Nothobranchius furzeri: one gene and its partner. The protein of the gene in region 1 interacts with the protein of each later gene in a biochemical or structural test. Links are inferred from orthologs where the notes say so. Each region holds a gene or a part of one and is shown on either strand. Other genes may lie near its edges. The genes, in order: atxn3 and calpain-2 catalytic subunit.

Evidence for each region.
Region 2: of the proteins of atxn3 (region 1) and calpain-2 catalytic subunit, one has a biochemical effect on the other in vitro, tested with the Homo sapiens proteins (2 studies listed by BioGRID). The link is inferred for Nothobranchius furzeri from reciprocal best matches to the Homo sapiens genes ATXN3 and CAPN2.

Annotation. Positions count from the first base shown.
Region 1 is NC_091758.1:31,655,939-31,660,282, reverse strand, and holds atxn3 (ataxin-3), read left to right. Parts: upstream 1-1,523; 5' UTR 1,524-1,613; coding exon 1,614-1,637; intron 1,638-2,016; coding exon 2,017-2,181; intron 2,182-2,270; coding exon 2,271-2,315; intron 2,316-2,396; coding exon 2,397-2,482; intron 2,483-2,563; coding exon 2,564-2,630; intron 2,631-2,711; coding exon 2,712-2,799; intron 2,800-2,875; coding exon 2,876-3,005; intron 3,006-3,077; coding exon 3,078-3,241; intron 3,242-3,344; coding exon 3,345-3,501; intron 3,502-3,577; coding exon 3,578-3,639; intron 3,640-3,714; coding exon 3,715-3,767; 3' UTR 3,768-3,781; downstream 3,782-4,344. Other genes in the region: E3 ubiquitin-protein ligase UBR1, read right to left, coding at 1,437-1,481. UniProt on the Homo sapiens protein: Deubiquitinating enzyme involved in protein homeostasis maintenance, transcription, cytoskeleton regulation, myogenesis and degradation of misfolded chaperone substrates.
Region 2 is NC_091746.1:29,422,108-29,426,509, reverse strand, and holds the start of calpain-2 catalytic subunit, read right to left. Parts: upstream 3,041-4,402; 5' UTR 2,502-3,040; coding exon 2,265-2,501; intron 1,250-2,264; coding exon 1,180-1,249; intron 1-1,179. Other genes in the region: aars2 (alanine--tRNA ligase, mitochondrial), read right to left, coding at 3,980-4,144. UniProt on the Homo sapiens protein: Calcium-regulated non-lysosomal thiol-protease which catalyzes limited proteolysis of substrates involved in cytoskeletal remodeling and signal transduction. Proteolytically cleaves MYOC at 'Arg-226'.

The DNA of each region.
Region 1 (4,344 bases):
TTAATGCCGTTCGATATAATCCGATACATTGTTTTTGGGCCGATATCGATATCGGAACGGGACATCCCTACACCTTAGTAAACCTTTGCTTCAAAACTGCCTTTTGTCACTGGAAACCTAATACAAAGATGTTGGTCTATATTTAGATAATAGGATTATCAAGCAGTTCATGCAGATCTGTCACCTGAAAACATGTGATGTGAGTCTCCTCTTCTAAAATGTGATTAATTCGATTCAGATGTAGTGACTGTAGCGGCTTGAATAAAACATCATTTTGAGATGATTAGAGCTTTGTAGTATTATCCTGCTGGATGTAGCCGTCAGAGCATGGGTCCAGTGTGGAAACACAAGTATGGACACTATCGCCAACAATAATCAGGTACGGGCCCAGACCATTACATCACCACCAGCAGCCTGAACCGTTAAGATGGATCCATGTTTTCAAGTTGTTAACATCAAAGTCTAACCTAACATTTATGAATGTTGCAGCTGAAGTTGAGATGCAACCTTTTGCTAATATCATGATGAAAACTGCAACACTCAGACCAGCCTGCCTGGCACCAGCACAAAACCACATTCATTACCACTGAAATCCCCTTTCTTCCCCAGATAATCAGACAAAACTTCATCATGTCCACATGTCTAAATGCTACCACCTGATTGGCTGTTTGTGTTAATAAGCATCTGAACTGGTTTACCTGCTAAACAAACTGGTGAGTGTATGGTACATCCACGCCAGGAGTCTGTTTAGGTTCACTTACATAAATATGCATCATCAGAACAAATATGTTTTTGTGTACCAACTGAACACCTTGAAAATAATACAATGGATTGGATGAAGCAAGTAAAATTATACAAAAATTATATTTCGGTTTTGAAAATAAAACTGAAATAATTTATTTTATACGAAACTAAAACAAAAACCACATTAGACGGATTTCTCAATAATAAAACACAAAGGCTGTAACTACATTAGGACGTTTAAAAATGCGTGATTATGTTGGTGTTTGGGAGGCGAAAATATCTGAACAGGTAAACCTAAATATGAATAACAACACAGTAACAGTAGACTAGTTTACTTTCACTGTAAATAAACGGAAAAGGCATTCAGGACCTCAGGCTAAGCATTTTAAATGTCATGTGTAAGCACAGAGGGGAAAGACAAACACTTACATCATTTCTCATGGAAAAAGACTAAATTTATCCCGAAAAGAAGTAAAAATAAAGTCGGTTTATCCGTAATAAACAGCGTGATGCCTCTCTAATGCTAGTTAGCCTTGGCGGCTACGACTATTATTAGCCTGGCAAGAACAACCTTCTACCATAATGCAGTAAAACCTTATTACACATGATTTTTTTTTTATTTTAAACTCCGTCGTTTTGCCACAAACTCTCAGAAAGCGCTGTCAACGGAATTAGCTGAGAGAACATCATACCTGACTCAGCTCCAGCCTGTTCATGGAATTCTCACTGTCCGCCATATTCCATTTGCCGTAAGTAGAGGCGTCCAGCACTGTGCCGCGCGCACGCCCGCCCGCTAGGGGGCGTCTCCTCTCGATAGGGCGAGTGAGGGGCGGGGGTTAGAGAGTTGAACGTTTGACAGAAAGCTGAATATGGACTCCATATTTCATGAGAAAGTAGGTTTAAACATTTTATAACACGAATTTACCTGATTATATTTACTGATTTTTGATTAAGCGGTGTCGGTGCTCGATCTGCTGAATAGTTTTACCAGTTAAGTAGCCGCTATCGAGGCGTTTGTGATGGAGTTGTTGTACAAACTGCTAATACGCTAATTCACTTGCTAGTCAGAGAATGTGAAAAGTTAGATTTTTAACATGATAACTATTCCTGGCGTCATGTAGGGGTTTTGTTTTCTTGTTAGTTAATCGCTCTCTGCTTGGCTGGGTCCTCGTTGGGCTAGCTGCTACATGTGTTTGTTTTGGTTGAGCATCTTTATTCCAGAAGTCCAGCTGATGCTGGATGCTTGTTACATTCCTGATCCTTTGTTTGCAGCAAGAGGGCTCCCTCTGTGCCCAGCACTGCCTCAACAACCTTCTGCAGGGCGAGTATTTCACTCCTGTGGACCTGTCCTCTATCGCTCATCAGCTTGATGAAGAGGAGAGGATGAGGATGGCAGAGGGGGGAATGGCTAGTGAGGAGTACAGGACCTTTTTACAGGTGTTATGAGACAGAGGGTACATATTGGTACAAAATGTTATCAAAAATGTAATTTTATTCATGTTTTTCTTTCGAAAATGTGTTTAAAGCAACCCTCTGGGAACATGGATGATAGTGGGTTCTTTTCAATACAAGTGAGTTTACAATTATCTTTTTATTGCTTCTAAAATCCATGTCCTCTTCTGTAATATCACTCTTGTTTCAATATTTTCAAGGTGATTAGCAATGCTCTTCGAGTCTGGGGCTTGGAGCTACTCCTCTTTAATAGTCGAGAGTACCAGAGCCTAATGATAAACCCAGTGTAAGGTTTTAATGTGGAAACATTATGATAGAAGATCCTGATCTCTCATTTCTTTAAGCTGATGCTTACTTTGTGTTTCAGAAATGAGAAAGCCTTCATTTGCAATTATAAGGAGCACTGGTTTACTATACGCAAACTTGGACAACAGGTGTGTGGCACTCACTCACTTACCTAGTCATACTTGTCTTATAGCAGCTTGATTCACTAAAATTCTCTGTTTCCTTTGCAGTGGTTTAACCTGAATTCACTGTTGACAGGACCAGAGTTGATATCAGACACATATTTAGCACTTTTCCTTGCACAGCTACAACAAGAAGGTAGCATCAGAAACTGTACATTTAGAGGTTGAACTGGAGAAAAGATGATTAAATTAGTTCTTTTTTTTTTTTGCAGGGTATTCCATATTTGTGATCCGAGGGAATCTCCCTGAGTGTGAGGCAGAGCAGATTCTTGGGATCATGAGGGTCCATCAGCAGCAGCGGCCAAGGCTCATCGGAGAGGAGGAAGCGCAGACGAGTGCGGGGTGTGTGTCATTTTGTTCACAAGGGTTCTGGTTTGTTTAACTCGTCTGATTCGTGCGTTTTGCTGTAAGCAGAAGGTCGGCTGCTCTGAGCCAGACAGAGGTGGTTTTTGGTGTTGAGGATGAGTCTGTGGGTGAAGATGAAGAACTGAAGAGAGCTCTGGCGCTCAGTAGACAGGACATGGATGTGGAAGATGAAGATGCTGATCTACGCAGAGCCATACAGCTCAGCATGCAAGGTCAATTGTGTGCCATGTGAAGGTTTTAAAACTGTTTGAAACTTGTATTAAACTTCTAAACATTAGTTTGTAAAATTAACTATTTGCATTTGTCTTTCTGCAGGAGCAGTGATGAGCAACAGGATGTCAGACAGTGAAGGGGAGGGTGTAAAATCTGGAGGGCAGGCAGCAGAGAGCACTACAGGAGAACAAAAAGAAGGCCAAAACGAGACGCTTACAGCCGAAGAGCTGAGGAAGAGGAGACGAGCCTACTTCGATCGGTAAGATCTACAACGACTGTTTAAATCCCTAAACGAGCTCTGCCCACTTAGAAAACAGATGTTTCTGTGTTTATAGGCAGCAACAAGCTCAGCCAAGCATTCCTCAACAAGCAGACAAACATTCAGCGGCTGATCCAGGTGATTAAATCTAACTTAGTTCAGAAGTCATGTGACTTGATGACTCGTTTAACCTGTGGCTCTTATTTCCACCAGGATCAGTAAACACTGGCTCTGAGGAGGACCAACAACAAGCTCCCATCCAATAAAGTGGTGAAAGTTTTGTCCGTGTTGTTTACCTGCAGCCTGGATTCAACTCCCCTCTCAGGGGTGGCTTTGCTCCTTCTTCTAACCTTTTGCAAATGCAAACATAAGGGCAGTCAGAAGGCTGACACGTGGTTACTCCCCCGCCCCCTTCCCGCCTCGTTAGTCACTGACTGAGGAAGAGAAGAACGACAAAGAAAAGGCAGCACTTTCTCATCTGAATCTTTTAGAAAGCACGGCCACTGGACCGGAGAAGACTCACGATGCAGTTTAATCCAAGTTTGCAATTTGCCTTTTTACCATGGCGCCTTCTATTTCTATCGTACAGTTTTATATCCTGGTTTTGTGTTTCTTTTCTTAAACACGTGGAAGTTATGTCCTTACTTGCTGAGAGGTAAAACGAAAAGGCGTTCAACAGAAGCAATATGAGACCAACGTTTAGATTAAAGCTTTACGGAAAACAACAAAGCCTCCTGATTTTGTAGCGGTTTTTCGTGCAACACACAAGTAATTAAAACACAGTTTCAGTCAGTCATTTTGTTTTATTGCACAATAGTTCTTTTGTCCTGTCAGAAACGCTAA
Region 2 (4,402 bases), on another chromosome or scaffold:
CAGAGATGCTGTGTTGCAGGAGGAGGTCTCACTCTGCAGCCAAAAATCCTCCAACAACTGAAAACAAACTTTAGCACAAAGTTCCACAGAGAGGGAGTCAGATGTCTGATGTGGGTTCTGTCGGCATGACGATGAGTCACAGCACTTGCAAGGGCGTGTGTGTGTGTGTGTGTGTGTGTGTGAGAGAGAGAGAGAGAGAGAGAGAGAGGGTGTTTCCTCTCTCTCTCTCTCTCTCTAGCAGACGCTTTTTCCAAAGCGACTTACAAGTGATAATCGGCATGTTGCCCTTGAGGCTAACAATAACAACAACAACTTGACATCAGTAATGGAGAGGAAGGAACAAGGAGTGGACGGTAGAGGGGGGACGGGTGCAGGGAGGGTGCTAGTTTAGAAGATGCTCTCTGAAGAGCAGGGTCTTCAGGAGTCTCTCTCTCATCCCCTAACAATAGCTGCAGGCCCCTTCCTGCTGTTCCTTCCTGACAGCCAATCAGAGTGCAGCATGGCAGCGCCCTCTAATTACAGCTGATCCTAGTTCAGCTGCTTCGTCTTAAAACTGTGAAAAAAAAAACTATGAACTGAGTCATGAAACACCCACACACGAACAGCGTGAGTCAGGGAGGGCCTGGCCCAACAGCGAAACACGCACGCACGCACACGCGCACACACACACACACACACACACACACACACACACACACACACACACACACGTGTGTGTTTTAGAGAGAGACAGACAGGACAGCAGCAGGGACATCTGATCCTAGATCAGGTCTTTAGACTCTACCTGGGTGGGTGTATGATGAACAAACCAGGTTTATGAGCCTGGAACTGGTTTATGAAGTTATCCAACCGGTCTGTTTGGGTTTTTCTAAACTGGTTCTGATGATGTATGGATTCTAAACCATGCTGGATCACAAACAGCACTGCTGATCGTCCCTCACGTCTCCTTTCTAATGCTGGACCTGGTGTACCGTCTGCTGTTCGTCGACCCAAATGGACTCAGGTCCCTCTGGGCTGTCTGAACCAGTTCCAGGCCCTGGTGCAGTTATACTGGGACTGACTGAAGCTAGATCTCAGTTCGGATCAAAACTAGATGACTGATTTAACTCTGTGACCTCTGACCTCACCTGTGACCTGACTCTGTGCTGCATTCAGAGACAACCAGGAGAAAACACTCACCCAGAGCCCCCTGACAGATGTCTGTCCGTGTGGCTCCACCCACAATAAACTCCGGTTTGGAGACCAATTCCTAAAGAAGGAGAGAAAGGAAGACTGGTTACCATGACAACTGCTGATTCCCATCAGGTTACACCCGTAGAAGCTGAAACTCAAAAACGTCAGGCCCGTGTGGTGTTGTGGGTCTTTTCCACCAGAACAGAGTCAACTCATCTCAGTGGCTTGAAGCCGTTCCCACCAGGTTCCTGGCCGTTTTATTCAGGCATTCTCACATTCTCACACTGCCGGTGATGTTAAGCTACCACGTAGCCACAGCCTCCCCGGAGCGGCGCTCCAAGTCGACACATAAAAGGGAAGTCGGAGACTGCTGGTCACCGACTGACCGGCAGGGAGGGGTCACTAGTCGCTTCAGAGTTTTCCGCTTGCTTCCCGCAGCGCTTTCTGGGATCAGTCTGATAAAAGAAACCAGACACTGAGCGGAACGCTCAACATCACCATCATGTCCGCCGTTGTTGTGTTTTCCACCGGATCAGATGCAGGCGCCTCCGACCCGGTAGAGCCGTTTCTCACCTGTAATTAAGAAACCACTCAAACTGGTTCAGTTAAGCCAGGCGGACTAGTGGAGATGCAGCATGAGTCAACTCTCGACCTTTGACCCGTGCTCTTTGTCAACTCTCGACCTTTGACCCGTGCTCTTTGATTTTTGTTCTGTCAGGATGGCTGAACCACAGCGGCTGGTTCAGTTCAGAAACATGAATGGACTCATCTCCAAGTCCTTCAAACCCCGTTAGAATGGTCCGGTGGGACCAGAACTGGGTTTCGGGGTCATTTGTTGATGGGCCAGCTCTTCCTGGTAGGGTGTGGACCCTGTGTGAGCTCTAGAAGCAAAGGGGAGAAAAAGCCTGACAGGTATGAGGTAGGCCACCAGGTTTTCTGAGGGGGAGGTGGGGGGGCTGACCCCACCTGGATCAGAACCTTCAAGTTAGCGTTAGAGATGCAAGAGAGCGACCCTGGGCCTTCAGCAGAGAGGGGCTGCACACCAGCAGCAGCCACACCCACCCCTCTCCCGGTTCCGGCTCGGTTCTTACCGTGGGTCTCTTCCAGGTCACTCCGCGGGTCTTGTAGGAGCTGCTGCCCAGTTCTTTGAAGCCCAGAGATTCGGGTGCGGCGGGGAACATCGGGTCGGAGAAGAGCTGCCCGTTGTCCAGGCACTGGGCTCGCAGGGCCTCGAAGTTCTGGTTCAGGTACCGAACCGCGTTGGCGTTGGTACCGAACCCGGCAGCCATGGCCCGCTTCTTGGCCAGAGTTGACGCCACGCCGGACATGATCTCGCAGAGGTTCCGATCGGAGAGAAAGTCTGAAGTTTGGGAAAAGTTTTGTGTCGAAGTACCGAGCTGCAGTCAGACCTCCGCCCTGGAGAGGAGGAGGAAGAGGAGGGAGGAGGGGCCTCCGAACTGGTACCTCTCCATGGAAACCAGCTGTGCGTCAAAGGCTGCAGCTGTGAGCGCAGCGCGTGCGTGCGAGCGCACCGAGGTCCAGACCCGGGTAGCGCGCAAGGCTGTGCGCACCGCGGTTCGTCCAATCAGTCCACTTCTCTCTCTCTTCCACGCGTGCGCGCACACACTCACCTGCTTCCTCAGATTAAAACCGCTATCTCTGATAGTTAAAATAAATAATTTATGTTTAAAATCACTTCATCCTCGCTGCTGTCTCCACCAGGGTAGGGGCTTCCTGGACAGCTCTCCTGTCCATCACAGGGACACACACCTTAGAGTCTCCATGTAACCTAACATGCACGTTTTGGTCTGTGGGAGGAACACATGCCCACAACCGGGATTCAAACCTGCAACTTCCTGTTCTCTAATTGCCCCTCTGGATCAGAACCCGTCCTCCTCCCATCTAAATCACTTTTAAGTCTTTTCTCTGACATTCACATGCAGGACAATCAGGCCACAGCAGAGGGGGCGGAGCTAAATGAGTGATGCAGTGCCTGAATTAATCATTCAGATTAAATGTGAAAGGCAGAAGTAGACCTGAGTTCTGCTCTGATGCAGGTAACATCAGTATATGGACCATATGGACCAGCAGTTCTGAGCTCGGGTCAGTCAGGTGATCTGAACAACCTGCAGGATCATCAGGTGGTCTCAGCAGGACTGAGGTCAGAGTTTTTCCCACCTGCAGCCATCACTCAGGGATTGGCAGCAACGTGCAAGACCAGTGTGTCACATGGTCATTTTGCTGGAGGTCCCTCACCACACCTCTACCTTCTCACAAGGCTCTTATTGTGAAAAAACAAACAATAACACAGCTTTTATTGTGAAAGTCCACTCCTATACCAGCTCTGTTACTTTGGCGGTGCTTGCGATCAGTAGAAGTGAAGATTTCAGAAGGTTCTGATCCAAAGTCTGGCTTAGTTTCTCCTGAAACTAGTCTACCGGAAGACGGCAGTGGGGAGCTAGACCTGGTGGACAACGACCAGGTGAGTTCAACCAGAACCAGGTCCGGTTCCAGAGAACCAGACTGGTGTTCTACCAGAACTAGGACACAGACGACTCTGAGACCATAGGTCAGGTTCTGCTGGGATGAGGATGGTAGTGGATGAAGCTGATGAGACCCGTTAGTCTAGAGGGGTTTTCTCCACATGACCTTTGAACTGTGTGTGCACGCAGGTCGTTTATTTACATACAAACTGCTGTAAACAATAACTAATGAATCAACAAGGAACAAATGTGTCACTTTATTTCTTCTAAAACAAAGAAATCAAGTCTGCAGTGGGCGGGGCCACACTGACATCACAATTACATCATCGTATTTTCTGACGGGCAATGTGTTCAGCCCACCTCAGGGCCTCAGTAATGTCATTGCTGATTCCTGTTCCCTTGGCAACTACAGCAGAGCCACCAGCCCGCCCCCCAAAATGGCCACACACTTCCATCGCCCAATCAGAGGCAGCGAGGGCCGTCGAGTCCTGCCAGGAGAAGGAAGAACCAATCAGAACATTTCATTTTTATCCATTTACCAAGAAGTTAACAGATTACGTTTGATTCTTAATCTAATTCCTTCCAAGTGTTCCTTATAGGACAGAGAGGAGTCAAGCTGGACATCCGGAAGTTTGTATGTGTGTGTGTGTGTGTGTGTGTGTGTGTGTGTGTGTGTGTGTGAACGAGTGAGTGAAAGAGACAGACTGGAGCTGCTGGTGGTAGTGTCCCACCAGTTACCATGTTTA